Schizosaccharomyces pombe: one gene and its partners. The protein of the gene in region 3 interacts with the protein of the main gene of each other region in a biochemical or structural test. Each region holds a gene or a part of one and is shown on either strand. Other genes may lie near its edges.

Evidence for each region. Proteins that work in one complex are often made in the same cells at the same time.
Region 1: the proteins of cdc4 (region 3) and myo2 form a complex in vitro, tested with the Schizosaccharomyces pombe proteins (one study listed by BioGRID).
Region 2: the proteins of cdc4 (region 3) and pik1 form a complex in vitro, tested with the Schizosaccharomyces pombe proteins (2 studies listed by BioGRID).

Annotation. Positions count from the first base shown.
Region 1 is NC_003421.2:1,232,731-1,240,216, reverse strand, and holds myo2 (myosin II heavy chain myo2), read left to right. Parts: upstream 1-1,980; 5' UTR 1,981-2,186; coding exon 2,187-6,767; 3' UTR 6,768-6,986; downstream 6,987-7,486. Other genes in the region: RhoGEF for Rho1, Rgf3, read left to right, coding at 1-832; Smc5-6 complex non-SMC MAGE family subunit Nse3, read right to left, coding at 7,046-7,486. UniProt on the Schizosaccharomyces pombe protein: Required for cell division. It is a component of the cdc12 'spot', a structure thought to mark the site of septation. May work in conjunction with myo3.
Region 2 is NC_003424.3:5,048,655-5,054,338, reverse strand, and holds pik1 (Golgi-specific 1-phosphatidylinositol 4-kinase, type III-beta Pik1), read left to right. Parts: upstream 1-1,930; 5' UTR 1,931-2,079; coding exon 2,080-2,103; exon of another isoform or gene 2,104-2,152; coding exon 2,153-2,271; exon of another isoform or gene 2,272-2,315; intron 2,316-2,320; coding exon 2,321-2,362; intron 2,363-2,513; exon of another isoform or gene 2,514-2,559; coding exon 2,560-4,930; 3' UTR 4,931-5,184; downstream 5,185-5,684. Other genes in the region: glo3 (ARF GTPase-activating protein), read left to right, coding at 1-1,232. UniProt on the Schizosaccharomyces pombe protein: Acts on phosphatidylinositol (PI) in the first committed step in the production of the second messenger inositol 1,4,5,-trisphosphate. PIK1 is part of a nuclear phosphoinositide cycle and could control cytokinesis through the actin cytoskeleton.
Region 3 is NC_003424.3:5,326,621-5,332,699, forward strand, and holds cdc4 (myosin II light chain cdc4), read left to right. Parts: upstream 1-2,567; 5' UTR 2,568-2,597; coding exon 2,598-2,628; intron 2,629-2,680; coding exon 2,681-2,812; intron 2,813-2,885; coding exon 2,886-3,026; intron 3,027-3,092; coding exon 3,093-3,185; intron 3,186-3,257; coding exon 3,258-3,286; 3' UTR 3,287-3,898; coding exon of another isoform or gene 3,899-4,159; 3' UTR 4,160-4,204; downstream 4,205-6,079. Other genes in the region: SPOM_SPAP8A3.07C (phospho-2-dehydro-3-deoxyheptonate aldolase), read right to left, coding at 100-1,209, 1,481-1,489; serine/threonine protein phosphatase PP2A scaffold subunit Paa1, read right to left, coding at 3,899-4,159, 4,205-4,542, 4,598-4,698, 4,760-5,663, 5,772-5,877, 5,932-5,979, 6,031-6,045. UniProt on the Schizosaccharomyces pombe protein: Involved in cytokinesis. Required for the formation and function of the contractile ring.

The DNA.
Region 1 (7,486 bases), on a different chromosome or scaffold from region 3:
TTATGCTCATAAATTAAGTCGTATTATTGAAATGGGTCTGATCGAATCCAAAATTGCAGTTGTCATTGGAACTCCGCATGCCGTATCATTCTTTAAAATAGGTAAATTGTCTGAGGGGGCTTCTGTTAAACGTGAGCGAACTTTGGTTTTTTATAAAGAGGGACTCGGTAATACTACAACCATAATTTGCTGTGAACCAGTGATCGGCTTAGGACATAACTATCAGAAAACATATGCCTTCAAGAGAAAAGATGTTACTTCCTTCAGAACTCTGGATGATTTTCACGTAACGGCTAACTGTCATTCAATTGATTGCTTTAAGTATTCAATTGCTCTTTGTCACAATAAAGGCATTGACGTTCTGCGTTTGGACCCTAAATTAGCAGTTGGTTTTCCAAGCCCTTCAGTGCTTAATGATACGTTGTTTCGGAACCGAATCAACAACAGTAAGCCGCTTGGCGTCTTTCGCATCCACGATCCTAGCTTATTTGCATGCTGCTATCAATTCGGTGCCGTGTTTGTCAATGGAGAGGGTAGTATGGTTAATAAAGAGTGTTGGTTTGATTGGATTGGCAAACCGAACTCTGTTACCAGCTGTCATGGATATCTCATTGCATTTAATGATGAATTTGTCGAAATATGGAACACGCGAACTAGGAAACTTAATCAAATTATCCAAGGAAATGACATTAAATACTACCCTAGTAACAGTGATTGGCTAGCCAATGGGAAATATATAATGTTTGGCATGGTTCATCCTCAGTATCACGATCGCCATTTGATACTCGCTTTAAATAAGGCAAAAACAAACTCCTTCATAATTGAAGATTGATAATTATCATATTTATTACAAGTTTTCTTGCCATGATTGTCTTTTTTACTCATCCATACTTTTGAATATCGGAAACGTTTATCTTATTTTGTTTTACGGAACATCCTGCATCTTTCGAATCATATTTTATCGCAGCCTTGAAATTTTATTTCTTCTTTTTTTTTTTTTTTACATTTCCCTACCCATTTTATCACAAAGGAATATTAAAATCTGCATGCATTAACATTTTTTAATTACTTAAAATGATCGCTACTATCATTATGTTCAGTGTTAAGCCAAAATTGGCTTATTGTACAAGTTGCATAAACTTGCCGACTACAGTTGATGAAAACAGAGAACATTGTTGTTTTTTTACGTAACTGGTTATGGTATTCTGCATGTTTTGATCATAAGTTTAAAGATGTGGTTACACATTGAAGCACCATGCTTTCTTTCAAACACTAACTGAAGCAACTAACATTTCTGTATATTTACTTATTGATTATTACCAGGGCCATAGCTGTAGATGGTCAGTAAGCACATAATAATTACTGATTGCGATTATTAGCTAGAGCGTGTTCTTATAATTATTCAGTAAGAGGCATGATTAGAGTGCTATATATAAAATGTAGATAAATAAATGCCGAGTTTAGTTATTTGCTTTAAAAGTTGTGTTCGGTACGATGAGGAACATATTATTTGCGTATCTAGTCACAAATTACTCATATATCTGTAATAGCGGGAGTTTTTTATACAATCATTTTACCTAAAAGCACGGGGGAACATGAAATTTCGATTAAACCGTAACCCCTAATCCTACGTTCATTTGATGTTTTGAGTATTAGTACAATGTATTTTCAATTATTACTTAATATCTTCAATCTTGATGAAAGTAAAGCTTTAAAAATTTGTCAGGACTTTAATTGCAAAAGACCGAGTATATAATGACCTCCATCTATTAATATTATTTCTTTTAAAAGATATATATACCTTCTTAATTGTGATATTAAAATCATTATGTTATAGGAATGTTTCTGGATGCTACCTTAACCTATACTAAATGTTTTAACGCAAATATGATCAAGTACATAAACGTTCGATTAACGCATGCGTTAATCGAATGTTCAAGTGCTTAAATCATTAATTGCTGTGCGTTCAACGGGGAGTACAAAAAGTATCCAACAACATAGTTCTTTAACGTTTTCTCTGTGCATTTGTTGATCCTTCTTTTCGGATATATCTATTGCTATCTTTTTGGATTTTTTCACTCTTTGATTTTTGGTCTATCCTTATTGTTTTACAAGGTTTTGGTATTGTACACCGCATTGTTTATTTTCAGGAAAGGCGGTAAATAACCGTCTTAGAGAGTAGCCCGATGACAGAAGTAATATCTAATAAAATAACTGCAAAAGATGGTGCAACTAGTCTGAAGGATATTGATGATAAACGATGGGTTTGGATTTCCGACCCAGAGACTGCCTTTACCAAGGCTTGGATTAAAGAGGATCTGCCAGACAAGAAATATGTTGTTCGGTATAATAATTCCAGGGATGAGAAGATCGTTGGTGAGGATGAAATTGATCCGGTGAATCCTGCCAAGTTTGATAGAGTCAATGACATGGCTGAGTTGACATACTTAAACGAGCCTGCAGTCACATACAATCTTGAACAGAGATATCTCTCTGATCAAATTTATACCTATTCTGGGCTCTTTCTCGTTGCGGTCAATCCTTATTGTGGACTACCAATCTATACGAAGGACATCATTCAATTGTACAAAGATAAAACACAAGAGCGCAAGCTACCTCATGTCTTCGCAATCGCGGATTTAGCATACAATAACCTTTTAGAAAATAAGGAAAATCAATCGATTCTTGTAACTGGTGAGTCCGGCGCAGGTAAAACAGAGAATACCAAAAGAATCATCCAATATCTTGCAGCAATTGCTAGCTCGACTACCGTTGGCTCTAGTCAGGTTGAAGAGCAGATCATTAAAACGAATCCTGTGCTCGAATCATTTGGTAATGCTCGTACCGTACGCAACAACAATTCTTCTCGTTTTGGAAAATTCATTAAAGTTGAGTTTTCTTTGAGTGGGGAAATTTCGAATGCCGCCATAGAATGGTATCTTCTTGAAAAATCTCGCGTTGTTCATCAGAACGAGTTTGAAAGAAACTACCATGTTTTTTATCAGCTTTTAAGTGGTGCTGATACTGCTCTCAAGAACAAACTTCTTTTAACCGATAACTGTAATGATTATCGATATTTGAAGGATTCGGTTCACATTATTGATGGAGTTGACGATAAAGAAGAGTTTAAAACTCTTTTAGCTGCTTTTAAAACTCTTGGATTTGACGATAAAGAGAACTTTGATTTATTTAATATACTTTCCATTATTCTACATATGGGAAATATTGATGTCGGTGCTGATCGCTCTGGTATAGCTCGTCTTCTCAATCCTGATGAGATTGACAAGCTCTGTCATTTGCTTGGTGTGTCTCCGGAGTTATTTTCACAAAATCTTGTTCGACCTCGTATTAAAGCAGGCCATGAATGGGTTATCAGCGCTCGAAGTCAAACTCAAGTCATTTCGTCCATTGAAGCATTAGCAAAAGCCATATACGAAAGGAATTTTGGATGGCTGGTAAAGCGACTTAACACTTCCTTGAACCATTCCAATGCCCAAAGCTACTTTATTGGTATTTTAGATATCGCCGGTTTCGAAATCTTTGAGAAAAACAGTTTTGAACAACTTTGCATTAATTACACAAATGAAAAGTTGCAACAATTCTTTAACCATCACATGTTCGTATTGGAGCAAGAAGAATATATGAAAGAAGAAATTGTATGGGATTTCATTGATTTTGGACATGATTTACAGCCGACTATTGATTTAATCGAGAAAGCAAACCCAATAGGTATTCTTTCATGTTTGGATGAAGAATGTGTTATGCCGAAAGCAACTGATGCTACGTTTACTTCTAAACTTGATGCTCTTTGGAGGAACAAGTCGCTAAAATATAAACCTTTTAAGTTTGCCGATCAAGGTTTTATTTTGACTCATTATGCCGCTGATGTTCCTTACAGTACAGAAGGTTGGCTGGAGAAGAACACCGATCCTTTGAATGAAAACGTTGCTAAGTTGCTTGCGCAATCTACTAACAAGCATGTCGCTACACTATTTTCTGATTATCAGGAAACTGAGACTAAAACTGTTAGGGGAAGGACGAAAAAGGGCCTTTTTCGAACTGTTGCTCAAAGGCATAAAGAGCAGCTCAATCAGCTTATGAATCAATTTAACTCGACCCAACCTCACTTTATTCGTTGTATTGTTCCAAACGAAGAAAAGAAAATGCACACCTTTAATAGACCCCTCGTTTTAGGACAACTTCGATGTAATGGTGTTTTGGAAGGAATCAGAATCACAAGGGCTGGTTTTCCTAACCGTTTACCATTTAATGATTTTAGAGTCAGATATGAGATAATGGCGCATTTACCAACAGGTACCTATGTGGAATCTCGACGTGCTTCTGTCATGATTTTGGAGGAGTTGAAAATTGACGAAGCATCTTATCGAATTGGTGTTTCAAAAATATTTTTCAAAGCAGGTGTTTTAGCAGAATTAGAGGAGAGGCGCGTAGCGACTTTACAAAGACTGATGACTATGCTACAAACAAGGATCCGTGGCTTTCTTCAAAGAAAAATTTTTCAAAAGCGATTGAAGGACATACAAGCCATCAAATTACTACAAGCAAATTTGCAAGTGTACAATGAATTTAGAACTTTTCCTTGGGCTAAGTTATTTTTCAATCTAAGGCCCTTATTAAGTAGTACTCAAAATGATAAGCAGCTTAAAAAGCGAGATGCTGAAATCATAGAGCTGAAGTACGAGCTGAAAAAACAACAGAATTCAAAATCTGAGGTAGAGCGTGATCTCGTCGAGACCAACAATTCTTTAACTGCTGTTGAAAATTTGCTTACTACTGAACGTGCGATAGCCCTTGATAAGGAGGAAATATTACGTCGAACACAGGAAAGGCTTGCAAACATAGAAGATTCGTTTAGCGAAACAAAACAGCAAAATGAAAATTTGCAACGAGAGTCAGCGTCATTGAAACAGATTAATAACGAATTAGAAAGTGAGTTACTAGAAAAAACTTCCAAGGTTGAGACTTTGTTATCAGAACAGAACGAACTGAAAGAAAAACTGAGTTTGGAAGAGAAGGATTTGCTAGATACAAAGGGAGAACTTGAGTCTTTACGTGAGAACAATGCAACTGTTTTATCAGAAAAAGCAGAGTTCAATGAACAATGTAAAAGTTTACAGGAAACTATCGTTACCAAGGATGCTGAACTTGATAAACTCACTAAATATATTTCTGACTATAAAACTGAAATTCAAGAAATGAGACTGACAAATCAGAAGATGAATGAAAAGAGTATTCAGCAGGAAGGTTCTTTATCTGAGAGTCTCAAACGAGTCAAAAAATTAGAACGTGAAAATTCTACTCTTATAAGCGACGTCTCTATTTTAAAACAGCAGAAAGAAGAGTTAAGCGTCTTGAAAGGAGTGCAAGAGTTAACAATAAATAACTTAGAAGAGAAGGTTAATTATTTGGAAGCCGATGTCAAACAGCTTCCGAAATTGAAGAAAGAACTAGAATCCTTGAATGACAAAGATCAACTTTATCAGCTCCAGGCTACCAAAAATAAAGAACTGGAAGCCAAAGTTAAAGAATGTTTAAATAACATCAAATCGTTAACGAAAGAGCTTGAAAATAAGGAAGAGAAATGCCAAAATTTGTCAGATGCTTCTTTAAAGTACATTGAATTGCAAGAAATCCATGAGAATTTACTTCTTAAAGTTAGCGACTTGGAGAATTACAAGAAAAAATATGAAGGACTTCAGCTGGACTTGGAGGGGTTAAAAGACGTCGATACAAACTTTCAGGAACTTTCGAAAAAACATCGTGATTTGACCTTTAATCATGAAAGTCTTCTTCGGCAATCGGCGTCCTACAAGGAAAAGCTTTCGTTGGCGAGCTCCGAGAATAAAGATCTCTCTAATAAGGTATCGAGTTTGACGAAGCAAGTAAATGAACTTTCTCCAAAAGCATCTAAGGTTCCCGAACTTGAGAGGAAGATTACTAACTTAATGCACGAGTACAGTCAACTCGGTAAGACCTTTGAAGATGAAAAGCGTAAAGCATTGATAGCTAGTCGAGATAACGAAGAATTACGCTCTTTGAAATCAGAGTTGGAGAGTAAACGAAAGCTTGAAGTTGAGTATCAAAAGGTACTAGAAGAAGTAAAAACAACTAGAAGCCTCCGTTCGGAAGTCACCCTTTTAAGGAACAAAGTTGCTGATCATGAAAGTATACGTAGTAAGCTTTCAGAAGTAGAAATGAAGCTGGTTGATACTCGAAAGGAACTGAATTCTGCTCTTGATTCCTGCAAGAAGCGAGAGGCAGAGATACATCGCCTTAAAGAACATAGACCGTCCGGAAAGGAGAATAATATACCGGCTGTCAAAACTACGGAACCCGTTTTGAAAAATATTCCACAACGAAAGACAATTTTTGATTTACAGCAAAGAAATGCAAATCAAGCGTTATACGAGAACTTGAAACGAGACTACGACCGTCTTAATCTTGAGAAGCACAACTTAGAGAAGCAAGTTAATGAGTTAAAAGGGGCCGAAGTATCACCTCAACCTACTGGCCAATCTTTGCAACATGTCAACTTGGCTCATGCTATTGAATTGAAAGCTCTGAAGGATCAAATAAATAGCGAAAAGGCAAAAATGTTTTCCGTTCAAGTACAATATGAAAAACGTGAGCAGGAGTTACAAAAACGAATTGCTTCTTTGGAAAAAGTGAACAAAGATTCGTTAATAGATGTGAGAGCTTTACGAGATCGCATTGCAAGCCTTGAAGATGAGTTGCGCGCCGCATGAAGTTAAATGATTTTGTAATGATGAAACCTTTATTAATTATATTATATATACTGACATATACTTCTCTTATAAGTTTACGAGCTATTTTTTTATTTTTTTTATTTAACAGCTGTACATAATATTCCCGCTATATAACCAAATATACATCTTAAATTTATATCGAGATATTAGCACGCATATAGGAACTTAAATAATATTACGAATTTTTTTGTAGTAGCGGAGTAAGTATACAATAGCATTAACATGAGACGAGCATAATGTAAAAACCTAAGAGTCATCTATGCTGCACTTGAGGAAGATTGATTCTGATACTCCTGCCGATATTCGGTTAATAGAGCATCCATATCAATGTCTGAATCCGGAAAGAACTCTGTAACGAATGATTTCAAGCCTTCAATAGAAATTTCAGTTACTGCACGGGATCCAATATAATAAACAAACTGGTTATGGGTATCATCTTTCACTCTATCTAAATACCCTTGGCGAACTAAAAGAGATAACGAGCGAGTAATATCCAGATGCAAAGGGGTTGTTTCTTCCTCTGTTAGAAGTTCCTGCAAAAAAGATTGCAGTTCTGAATGTCCTACACTGCAATGAGAAACGGCTATGAATGCGATCACAGTCATCAAAAATCCATAATAAGCAGTATCCAATACCGAATCTACAATTAAGCGAGAATCCTTTTGAAGTTCCATAGGAAGGGTAGACCTCAACACCCA
Region 2 (5,684 bases), 280 kb from region 3:
TTCGTGTAATGCGGGTCGGTGGCAATGAAAACGCCCGTAATTACTTTAAGCGTCATGGTGGGGTTTCACTTCTGAATTCCAAGGATTGTCGTTTGAAATATTCTTCCAAAACTGCAAAACAATATCTTGAAAAACTAAAGTCTCTTGCGGTAGAAGACGAGGCTAATTATCCCGATATATTGGATATGGATTTCCTTTCCAACACTCATGAAGGCAGTTCTGCTGCTGACACTACTAATGAAGATGATGACTTTTTTTCTGCTTGGGATAAAGCATCTGTGAAGAAATCGGACGATAATCTTGATGACAAAACTGACTTAGCTTCTACTAGTTCATCGGTAGTTGTTGAAAGCGGCGAGAAAGATGAGCCTGTCGTCGTCACTGAAGAGAAGACTATGGTTTCTCCCCCTTCTCGTCCAGATTCTACTTCCACTACCAAATCAAAAACTTCTTCTATTTCTTCTGCTCGTGCCCGGCCTATCCGTGCTTCCTCACGCCCTACTGCTAGTAAATTGGGTGCTAGTAGACCTCAGAAGCTCGGTATCAAAAAGGCGAATGCCGATATTGACTTCGATGAGTTCGAAAAAGCTGTATTGTCTTCCGAATCTGCGCCAACCAAAAAACCTGCTGCTGTTGCGTCTAAGGAAAGCACCGTTGATACATTGGTAGATAATGGAGTCGAGGAAGTCAAGGAGTCCACTTCGACCACTGTGCAAGGAAAGCCGGTAAAACCTGTTTTGAAATCTGCTGCATCCGCAAAGTCAACTAAGTCTGACGACTCAAACCTCAATGCAAACTTTGCACGTTTGGGATTCGGCCAGTTTGCTGCTGCATCCAATGCGCGTGCTAAGGCCGCTGCAAAGGCACGAGAACTGAAGAAAAATGAGGTTAATGCACCGACATACGCACGAGATCACTTTGCTTCTCAGAAGTCTATTTCATCTGATCAATATTTTGGTCGTGGATCGTTTGATCCCGAGGCAGCTGCCGAAGCTCAAGAACGTTTATCTTCTTTCCGAGATGCCACAGCTATTTCTTCCAAGTCCTATTTTGGTGAGGAAGAAGATGAAAACGAGGAGGGTGAATCGTCTCATCGTCCAGATAGCGCATACCTTCGTGATATAGCTGAAACTGCTACTGAAGACATTGAAGCTATTAAAGTAGCTATTCACCAAGGCGCAGAAAAACTTTCAGATTTTATTCAAAAAGTTGGTGCTCGATACAATTTTTAATTCATCCGTCCAACTTTAGCTCAAGTAGCAAGAACCTGTCTATCTGTGCCAGTATCTGTTCCCCATCTTCTCAAATTTACTTCGACGACCAAAACTAATTAGTTCAAATTGAGTTATGCCTATTCTAACCAGTTCAATATTCCGCTACTAGTATCTTACCCTTATTGATCTGACCTTGTAACAAATGCGGTTTCTTCTCGTCAATTTCTCGTGGAACCATTTTTTTTAATATTGATAGAAATTATCTAAAACTATCACATCAACTTGTATAAAGGAAAGGTTTTGAATGCATTAAACAGCCATTGCGAACAGCTACTAGATTCTCTGAATTAAAAACTACATTTTTCACTGGCATGTAGCTTATCTGGATGCTGAATACCCACTTTCTTTTTCAGCTTTGCTTCAAGGTTTCGCTGTAAGCGGAAAGTGATTTATAGGTCTCTAGGAACTGTCCTTTTCTTGAATTTTAGATAGATTAATTGATGTAGCATTCTTTTTCGTTGCAGTGATAGTAAAGCTTTGTATTGTCAATTAACAGTCCTGTTTTAGTATTATTAAAACTACATAATTAATATTGAGCTCTACTGAGAATTTATTTAGTAATATTTGGAATTGTAACAAAAATTCAATTTTTGCAACTGGCATGTTTACATTTTGAGATGATGACCTACCCTCCCCTTTTAGTGGATACTTGGCCTACGCTACTTTCCCCATTCATACTACGGTGAAGGCTAAGTGAACGAAAAATCGCATTTTTTAAGCCTTACATGGCATATATTATTTAATTTTAATTAGCATCAACATCGACTTAATATATGACGATGTTTATGCAGCTTCAAGGTTAAACATGCCATCTTCGAATTCGGGAAATGTATGACTTTTGATCGTTGTGTTAGCTGCGTAATTAACGCTATTTCTAGGAGTTACTTTTAAGATTCTTTGAGTCTGCCCATTTCACGAGTCAACTTTGTGTTGCATATCTTTCACGCTATCCTAACAATATTGGCATTCATCACTTTCTTTGCGAAAAACTAGCAACGTATGTCTACCGTATCATTTCTTTGTTTTTTATGTCTAACACATATTAGATTTCCTTATGAAGAGATAGAATTTTTTATTCCTCAATTAATGTACGTTTATTTCGATAAATAAAGAAAAATTTTTGGGGGGAAGGAAAGTACCAAAAAGTCGAGCTCATAAGTCAGTGAAAGCCGAGTATATGACTCATATGCCTATTTCATAATTTAATGACTCTCTTACCTTTTGATTTTCTTTCCTTCAAACGTTTATTCCGTTGTGTTCGTGCATCTCTAATATCATACTGTAGTCATCTCGTCCTTAACAAAGATTCTGAAAGCGTTGCTTTAGAAGAATTTATCATTTCTCAATGTGAACAAAATACACAATGCGCACTCATTACATTTTGGTATTTGCAAGCCCATATGGTGGATCTAGGTTTACAGCCGCATTCTTCTTGTTTTAAAATATGTAAACGACTTTACAATCGTATTCAGATTTTGGTTTTCATGTCATCATCATCGTTAATACAGTCCCAACAAAAAATCTCCGAAAATGTAACCCCTGCCCTAATCCTTTCAGGCATCATGCTAGGTGGTGTTTGTGTGCCTGAACTACTAAAAAAAGCTGGCCCCATTGCAATTGCTCAAGGCCGTAAAGCCCCTAGGCAAGATCCAGATGAATCAGATGTTGATGTTTTACGCCGTCTTTCCACCGAACCTCGATATTCTCTGGACGTATTACGTTCGTCTTTGAACAACTCTATTGTCGAGCAACATTCCGAAGTATCCCTTAGACTAAAAGCTCCAGAACTAACCCGCACCCATTCATATCAATCATCAGCTACATTATCTATTGACGAACAGCGTCGTGTTCTACGCTCTAATTATTTTCAACAAGAAATTCAATTTCTTTTTGCTTTACAAGATATATCTATCCGTCTCATCATTGTACCTAGACAAGCTCGCCTTTCTTCATTACGCGCCGAACTTGCTCTTTTAAATAACAACCTTCCAGCCGATGTGAACATACCGCTTTTACGATCATATCATAAAGAAGTGAGTCATAAAATCGTTCGCATTGATCCTAAAGAGGCTACCATACTCAATTCTGCCGAACGAGTACCTTATCTTATTATGGTTGAGGTCCTATCTGGTGAACTCAGCTTCGAGCCACAATCGAAGAAAAATAAGGCTAAGGTGCAAAAGATTGTCTCTCATAAAAACCAAAGAAAAAGGTGGTTTGACCTCACAGATGTCGATCCTTATACGAACCTTCAAGACAGTACCGACAATGATATTTCAGAGTCGGAAAGTGAGGGAGGGGATTTAAGTATGTCTCCTCTGATAAAAGGGTTGGTACCGGACACTCTTTCTTTGAGTAAGTCATTCTCTTCGTTTGGTAATGTATCTTTGCAGGTACCGTCCTCTCATAGAGATACCGATGTCGTCCTGTTATCTGGGCGCCACTCTGATTCTGATGGAAATGGCGCCTTAAAAAGAAGTAAAATCTATGCTTCAGAAATAACAGCGAGAATGCGAGCTGCGGCAACTATGCTAAGTCAGCTTGATGCTGAAGGTAGCAGACGTCCCAAAGCTGAGACTGAACGAATAAAAAATAGCATTATTCTTGACATGCAAAGACTCGAAGAAGAGCGCCTTAATGAACCATCCATTTATCCTGTTTCAGTCGACATATCATGCGCAGAAGATCTGCGATTTGGCAAAGAAACTCAAAAGGCAGAACGGAAAGGTGATAGAGATGATCCCAGTGCCGCTACATTCCAAGAAGATTGGTATGCCAAGAAGGAAAGGATAAGAAAGTCTTCTCCTTATGGTCATTATCCCAATTGGGATTTGGTCAGTGTGATTGTTAAAACGGGTGCGGATCTCCGGCAAGAGACATTTGCCTGTCAACTTATATACGCGTTTCAGCGTGTTTGGCTAGAGTGTAAAGAAAAGGTTTGGGTTCGAAGGATGAAAATTTTAGTGACCGGCGACAATAGTGGCTTAATAGAAACGATTACAAATGCCATTAGTGTTCACTCTATTAAAAAGAATTTGACGAAACAGCTTCGGGAAGCTGAACTAGCCCAAGGAAAAATTGCTGGTAAAAATGTTGTTACATTGAAGGATTATTTTATAAAGCAGTTTGGTGATCCCAACAGCAGCCGGTATCGACAGGCACAGACAAATTTCCTTCAATCATTAGTGGCATATAGCATTATATCATACTTACTACAGTTAAAGGATAGACATAATGGTAACGTTCTTATTGATAGTGAAGGTCATATTATACATATTGATTTTGGCTTTTTACTTACGAATACACCGGGGAATGTTGGCTTTGAAAGCGCTCCATTTAAGCTTACGGCGGATTATTTAGAAATCCTTGACGACCGGTTTGATGAATATCGTTCCTTGATGAAAGCTGCGTTTAAATCTGTTCGAAAAAACGCTGATCAGATCATTTTGCTTGTTGAAGTTATGCAAAATAATTCCACAATGCCTTGCTTTCGTGCTGGTGAAAACACAAGTGCACAACTTTTGCAACGTTTTCAACTACAGCTTGGTGACAAAGAATGTGATGACTTTGTGGATTTGTTGATTCAAAAGGCAAATTGTAGTGTTTGGACGAGACTTTATGATCTGTTTCAAAATATTACGAACGGAATTTACTAGTAAGTGGCTATTCGTTTTCTCTTTTCATTTTTTTCGAATACAGCTACGGAGCTTCCACACTTGAACCATACTGCTGGTTGGCTTTTTTAACTTTCAATATTGTATTAAAATCACCACATTCACCATGGTTCGTAAATTTGGTAATTTTTTTGTTAGCTAGATTAGCTATATTAATGCATTAAAAATATTTTATGTGATCTATATGATTTATCATACCCACTAGAAACCCTTGCAATTATAATATACTATTAAAGCATACTGTCTAAATTAACTGCATTTCTAAGTTAGCAAACAATTTGGCGTAGTTAAATCCGGGTTAAAGAATCCTTTCGCACTTCCGTATATTGACATACCAAATTTTAAAGTAAGATTAGGTACTGCAACCCACTTCAATTTACCCTTTACCATCAAATTGAAAAATTAGGCGCAAACAGTAATTGTATATTAGAACTTGGAATTTTTTTCTTTTCATTTATAATTTTGTGTTATAATCCTTTGTTCCTTCTTCTACTAGGGGTTGTTTCTTTGCACAATATTGTAGTTGACATTGGTTAATGGGGTATCTTCATATTGATTACAGTATTCGTGATATAACAAAGAAATTTGGTAGGAAAATTTTAGTGTTGATTAATAGTTTTTCTTATCAGGATTATATCCAACTGAGGTGAATTATTACTTGAGACTTTACATCATTAAATTTTATGCAGGTATTAAGTCGTGATTATATCAGTCAAACAAGTACCTTTTGAATTCA
Region 3 (6,079 bases):
CCGTATTTAAGCCAAAATTGTTCAGTTGTTGTATGTTACGAAAAAATAAGTTTCAAAAATTAAAAAAATTAAAACTGCTGAATATAACATTTATATGTCTTAATTACTTTTTTGGTTTTGACGGCGAGCACGGACAGCTTCAGCAAGATCGTCTAGCATTGGAGCAGTTTGTTCCCAGCTAACACAAGCATCAGTGATACTGACACCGTACTTGAGAGTATCCTTAACGCCAGGACGGATTGGAGCATCTTGACGACCTTCATTGATATGAGATTCAATCATAACACCAACAATGGAAGAGTCGCCATTTCTGATTTGTTCGGCGATGCTCTTGGAGACCTTTGGTTGGTTCAAATGATTCTTGCTTGAGTTGCCATGAGAGCAATCGATCATGATACGAGGAGGAAGGTTGGCCTTCTCAAGATCTTTGCGAACGGCGGCAACGTGCTCAGCATCATAGTTAGGACCCTTCTTACCACCACGCAAAATGATGAAGGTATCCTTGTTGCCCCTGGTCATGGTAATAGCGGCGAGACCTTGTTTAGTAACTCCTAGCATTGTGTGAGGATGGGCGGTAGCACCAATGGCATCAATCGCCACACCAACAGTACCATCAGTACCATTCTTGAAACCAACAGGGAAGGAAAGGGCAGAAGCCAATTCACGATGTAATTGAGACTCGGTAGTACGAGCACCGATAGCACCAAAACTGAGTAAGTCGGCGAAGAATTGGGGAGAAATGTTGTCCAACATCTCACTGGCCAAAGGAATGCCAAAATTGGTAACGTCGCAATACATTTGACGAGCCATCCTAATACCCTTGTTGATAGCAAAAGAACCATCCAAGTTAGGGTCGTTGACCAAACCCTTCCATCCGATAGTAGTACGGGGCTTCTCCAAATAACAACGCATGACAACGCACAAAGCATCCTGAAGCTCGTCAGCTTTGGGCTTCAGCAACTTAGCATAGTCCATGGCCAATTTAGGGTCATGAATGGAGCAAGGACCGACAACAACGATAATTCTGTCATCTTGTTTGTTGAGAATAGCTTGAATCTCCTTTCTGGAGTCAGTGATGACTTTGCGAGAAGTTTCAGAAACAGGAATCTCTTGTTGAACCAAAGCGGCAGGAACCAAAGGGTTGTAACCTAAGACACGGTTGTCATCAAGATGCTCTTGATCGTAAGTTTCACCGCTGGGTAAAAAAACCTAATTGAATAATGTTAGCAAATTGACATTAAAAAAAAAGACCAAACATGCTGGACATAGCAATCAACATAAAGCAATAAAAATTTCAAAAAAAAGAAACAAAAAAATTTAAAATTTCAATTGCCTAAAAATTCATCAGCAAAAACAAATTTGTTATCCGCATAGTAAAATCTACTATATAACTCAATAAGATAACTTTCAGTACTGTTTCTCCGACTGATGAAAATTTTTACTAGCAAAATTCTTTGGATGCCCAATTGGGGTTACTTACCGGAGACATGGCTTATTAAATAGAATTAATAAATTTAGGTCAAAGAGTGCTTCCTAAGTTGTTGAATGCCAAGTAAGTAAACACTATTAAAGGTCCTTTACTACGACGAAGGTTGGTTCTGTCTGAGTTCGAAGCAGCGCCAACGAAAAATATATGTAGTCCAGTAATAAGATGATCCAGTGATAATGGCTCTAAGTCATCGGAACTGCGAAACAAGTAGTAGGCAATTTCTGGACATCATCGCTTAAAAATTTGTTCAAATTTATAAGTCCTTTGTTTTGTATCAATTTCTAGATTTCACTTGCTATTTAATTACTTGAAAGTAAATTGAAGGTTGAGCGTAAAAACATAAAATAAAGCCTTTTTTCGGTTTCTTATTAATTCATAAATTAATGTTAAAAGGGATTGATATATAATATTTAATAATTACGTTTCCTACAATGTTTACTGTCATGTACCACTGGGATATGAGAATATATACATTGCTTATCAAAATACTTATTTCCAAGATTCGCTCAATTATATAAACCACGCATTAAAGCAACATATAAAAACATATTGATTCGTTTATTTTACTTTTACTCAATGCATATTTTGTGAGCCCGAAAATTTAGATATACCATCTGTGACTGCCTTTTTGGTACACAAACGCCGAAAATTAGAAGTCTGGTGGACAGCGTTGGCTTTCCGGTAGATTAGTCTTTTGAGGTTAACAAGTTAATGATATCTGATATTCTGATGTGATTATTGAATTTATGAAGTGCATCAGTACTGTATTTCTCGTGTTCCGGTGACTCTCGTATTTTGTATTGCACTAGAAATAGTGAAATCGCCAGCCATTTCATAATTTATCAAGTAGCTCGACATTAGTATGACTATTCATATTCTGTATACGAATGATGTTCTAAATTAAAATCTGGCAAAGTAAATGACAATTCTGTTCATATAAGCTGGTTTACATAGCTCTACGTTCTTTAGTAAATTACTAAACAGATCGCTATACAGTAAACATTATCATGGCAACGGTTGCTATGGGGCTTATAGGTGCGTGTACACAGATTACAGTCGACTTAGTACACTTACCTTCATCCTAACAATCCATTTAGAATAGTCAAACATGTCGACAGACGATTCACCTTATAAACAAGGTAATAACTACTTTTTGAAATCATTTCAAAATGTTTATTAACGAAAAGATAGCTTTTTCTTTATTTGACCGCCATGGAACTGGTCGCATCCCCAAAACGTCCATTGGTGATCTTTTAAGAGCGTGTGGACAAAATCCTACGCTGGCTGAGATTACTGAAATTGAATCTACTTTGCCCGCAGAAGGTATGATTTCTTGTTATGGGTTTGGAGAGTTATACTCCTTAGCCGTGCATTAAGTGACAATACTAATTGGTAGTCGATATGGAACAATTCCTTCAAGTGTTAAATCGTCCCAATGGGTTTGATATGCCTGGTGACCCAGAGGAATTCGTGAAGGGCTTCCAGGTGTTTGATAAAGATGCCACTGGCATGATTGGAGTGGGTGAATTGCGCTATGGTATGTATTTATAGAGATCTATCCTTTTTTCAGATTGATAAAAAAATGCGAAACTAATTGTATCAGTTTTAACTTCTTTGGGTGAAAAACTCAGCAACGAAGAAATGGACGAGTTATTAAAGGGTGTTCCCGTAAAAGATGGCATGGTTAATTATCACGGTATGCTCTATTACTACTCTGGGCTTCGGCAATCAACTACCTATACTTAATTATACTAACTGCTTCCTTTAGATTTCGTTCAAATGATTCTTGCCAATTAATTAAATCTACATAGTTTGCATAATTTACCCGGCATATGTTTCTCCTTTATTATTTACACCTTTATTTCAATTTTATGTCTTCAATAGTTTACTTTCGTTCAGCTTTTCCATCTGATACACTTGGGACTATGAAGCAATATGTTCCTGAATACAGATAACTGGACTTTTCGATACTCGCAGGAATTTCTACACATATCGTTTAGCATACGGAAATAGAGATATCCTTCTATATTCGTATATTTATGAATATGATTAACAACCATTTGTTATCTCATGCAAATGACCTTATATCTCAGCTGCTTAAATTGTTTGAATCTCTCCAGATGTAAATATAAGTTTTCATTCAAAATTACACTTTTCGTAAGTAATTACGGTTGATGCCAGCTTTCTTGATGCATTCGGCTCCAATTTTGCCATATCGTGTATATCTTGTATATCTAATTTACTGTGTGTCAATACGATGCTTTGAATTAGATGTAGGGCTTGACACTTGATGTCGAACGAATGGCCAGAGTCAAGACAGTCCATTCTTTTGCATTTTTACATAGTGAACACAAATCATAAAGGTAAAACTTTTGGCTCATTTAGACATGCAATCATATAACCCAACAATTAGTCATTTGTTTGCTCTAAGGCCTGAGTAGCAAAATATTGAACATCAGGGTCATTATCTTTTGTAAGTTGTTCGAGCAATGGGATGATTTGCTGTTCATATACGGTCGAGTCACCACCAGCTGCCAAAACAGGCTTAAGAACTTCAAACGCCTTGGCAACGTTAAAGCGAATATTAGGAATAGGGTCATTAACCAACTGTTCCAAAGTTGGAAGAATTTGTTTTTCAATTACTTCAGCATTCAATGCAGGTGCGATTTCCTAAAATACGTTAGAACTGGAAAAAAGCAAAAAAGAAAAACTTACACTGATCGCAAAAATAGTTGTCATTCGGTATAAATAATTTGGATGGCTTCGCATAGCCAAAAACTTTGGAATAATTGTCTCAGTTGCCCATTCCAACCCAAAAATTTCCGTAAGTTTTCGCAAATTCTTTATCGCAGCTTCACGAATAGAATATACATGGTCCTCTAACCATGACATACATAAATTGCCCATTTTCTCATTAAAAAATTCGACCCCAAGCTGCTGAGCAAGTAGTGGAATGTAGTCAATGATAGCAAGACGAACACGCCATTGTTTATCTTCAGCAAGTGTAACAATTGCAGGCAATAAAGATTGTGAAAGTAATTCGATACCAACGACTAAAGTGAGTTAGTATAACTGTAGCAATAGCTATATTTTGAATTTGCAATTTACCTTTGTTTACAACTTCCAATTTCGAAATAATGTTAAGACGAACTTCAGGGTTTTCATCTTTAAGTAATTCCAAAAACATTGGTAAAAGATACTCTGTAGTCCTAAATATAACGATTAGTAAAATGAGGTTTTTAAAAGAAAAGTTATTTTTAGCAGACATACTTTTCCTTTCCTAATTGTGGGGCGAGAGCACCTATGTTCATCCCTAAAGCAGCACGGACATGTTGAGCGGGATCATTAATTAACTCTTGAATAACTGGAATAATCTCTTCAAGAACAATTCGCTTATCCAACAATTCGCAAAATCCTGGTATTTGAGTAGCAATAGCACGGCGGACTTCCTGCTCGGTATCCTTCATGAGCAGTACGAATGGTTTAATAAGTTCATCTTTAATAAGAGATGGTCCAACTACTTTAGCAAGTTTTACAAAATTAGCAGCAACCATATAACGTGTTCTCCAGCTGCTATCCGAAACAAAAGACCTTAATGGTTGAAGCAAATAGTGACGAATTTCCGAGTCAGATTTTAATACCTCCGCCAAAGAAACCATAATGTCGAAAGAAAGGAGCCGAACTGAGTCTTGGTCATCATTAGAAAGGGAGTTGAACAATGGAATGAATTCGTCAATAGCCTCCTGTTTAGTTACCAAAAAAACAAACTTGGCACAGTTCGTTGCTGCAGGACGACGGACCATGGGAGCTTCGTCGTGACATAGATGACTAAAACTTTGACGAAGAGAGACTTTGACAGCAGGATTTTCTGACTGAGAATATGCCGCGCAGTAAAGCCCAGCAGAGGACGCACGAGAGGTAAACCACTCAGCGGTTGAAAGACGTTGAACCAATGGAACAAAATATTGCTCTAATTGTTCTTGGGATAGGCAAATACATACTTTATTGAGAGAGTCAACGGCTTTATCGCGGACTACCGTTTCTTCAGTTGCAGCAAGATTTTCAAGGGGAGACAAAAGGACATGCGCATACTCAGGGCCTCCAACATAATCTACAAAATTTCCTAACTGGTCGGCGAGAGCTGATAGGACTTCGTCCTCATCGTCAATCGATTCTGTATTCAAGGAATGTTAGCCGACAAACATACATCGTTTATTAAAAAATATAAAGAATTTTAAAAATTTAAACCTATAGTTCCATAATTTTATTATTGAATGCATACCATCTAAAAAGGGAATCAACTCATCCCTTGTACGTTCAGGACCTAAAGCGAGAGCAATTGTCGATAACCGTTCCAAAGCATTGAGCCTATAAGTAATTTCATCATGCTTTAACAATAGTCAGAGTTGAACATATCAGACGTAAAACAATTTGTTACCAACCTTTAACTCATCAATCAAAACAGCAATCGGATACAAATCGTTCACTTGCTATAAATAGTCGTGGTTAATAAATTGTAAAAGAGACATTTTGTAACACACATTCTCTGTTTGCATTTTATATAATAGAACAACTCGTTCTTAGCAAACA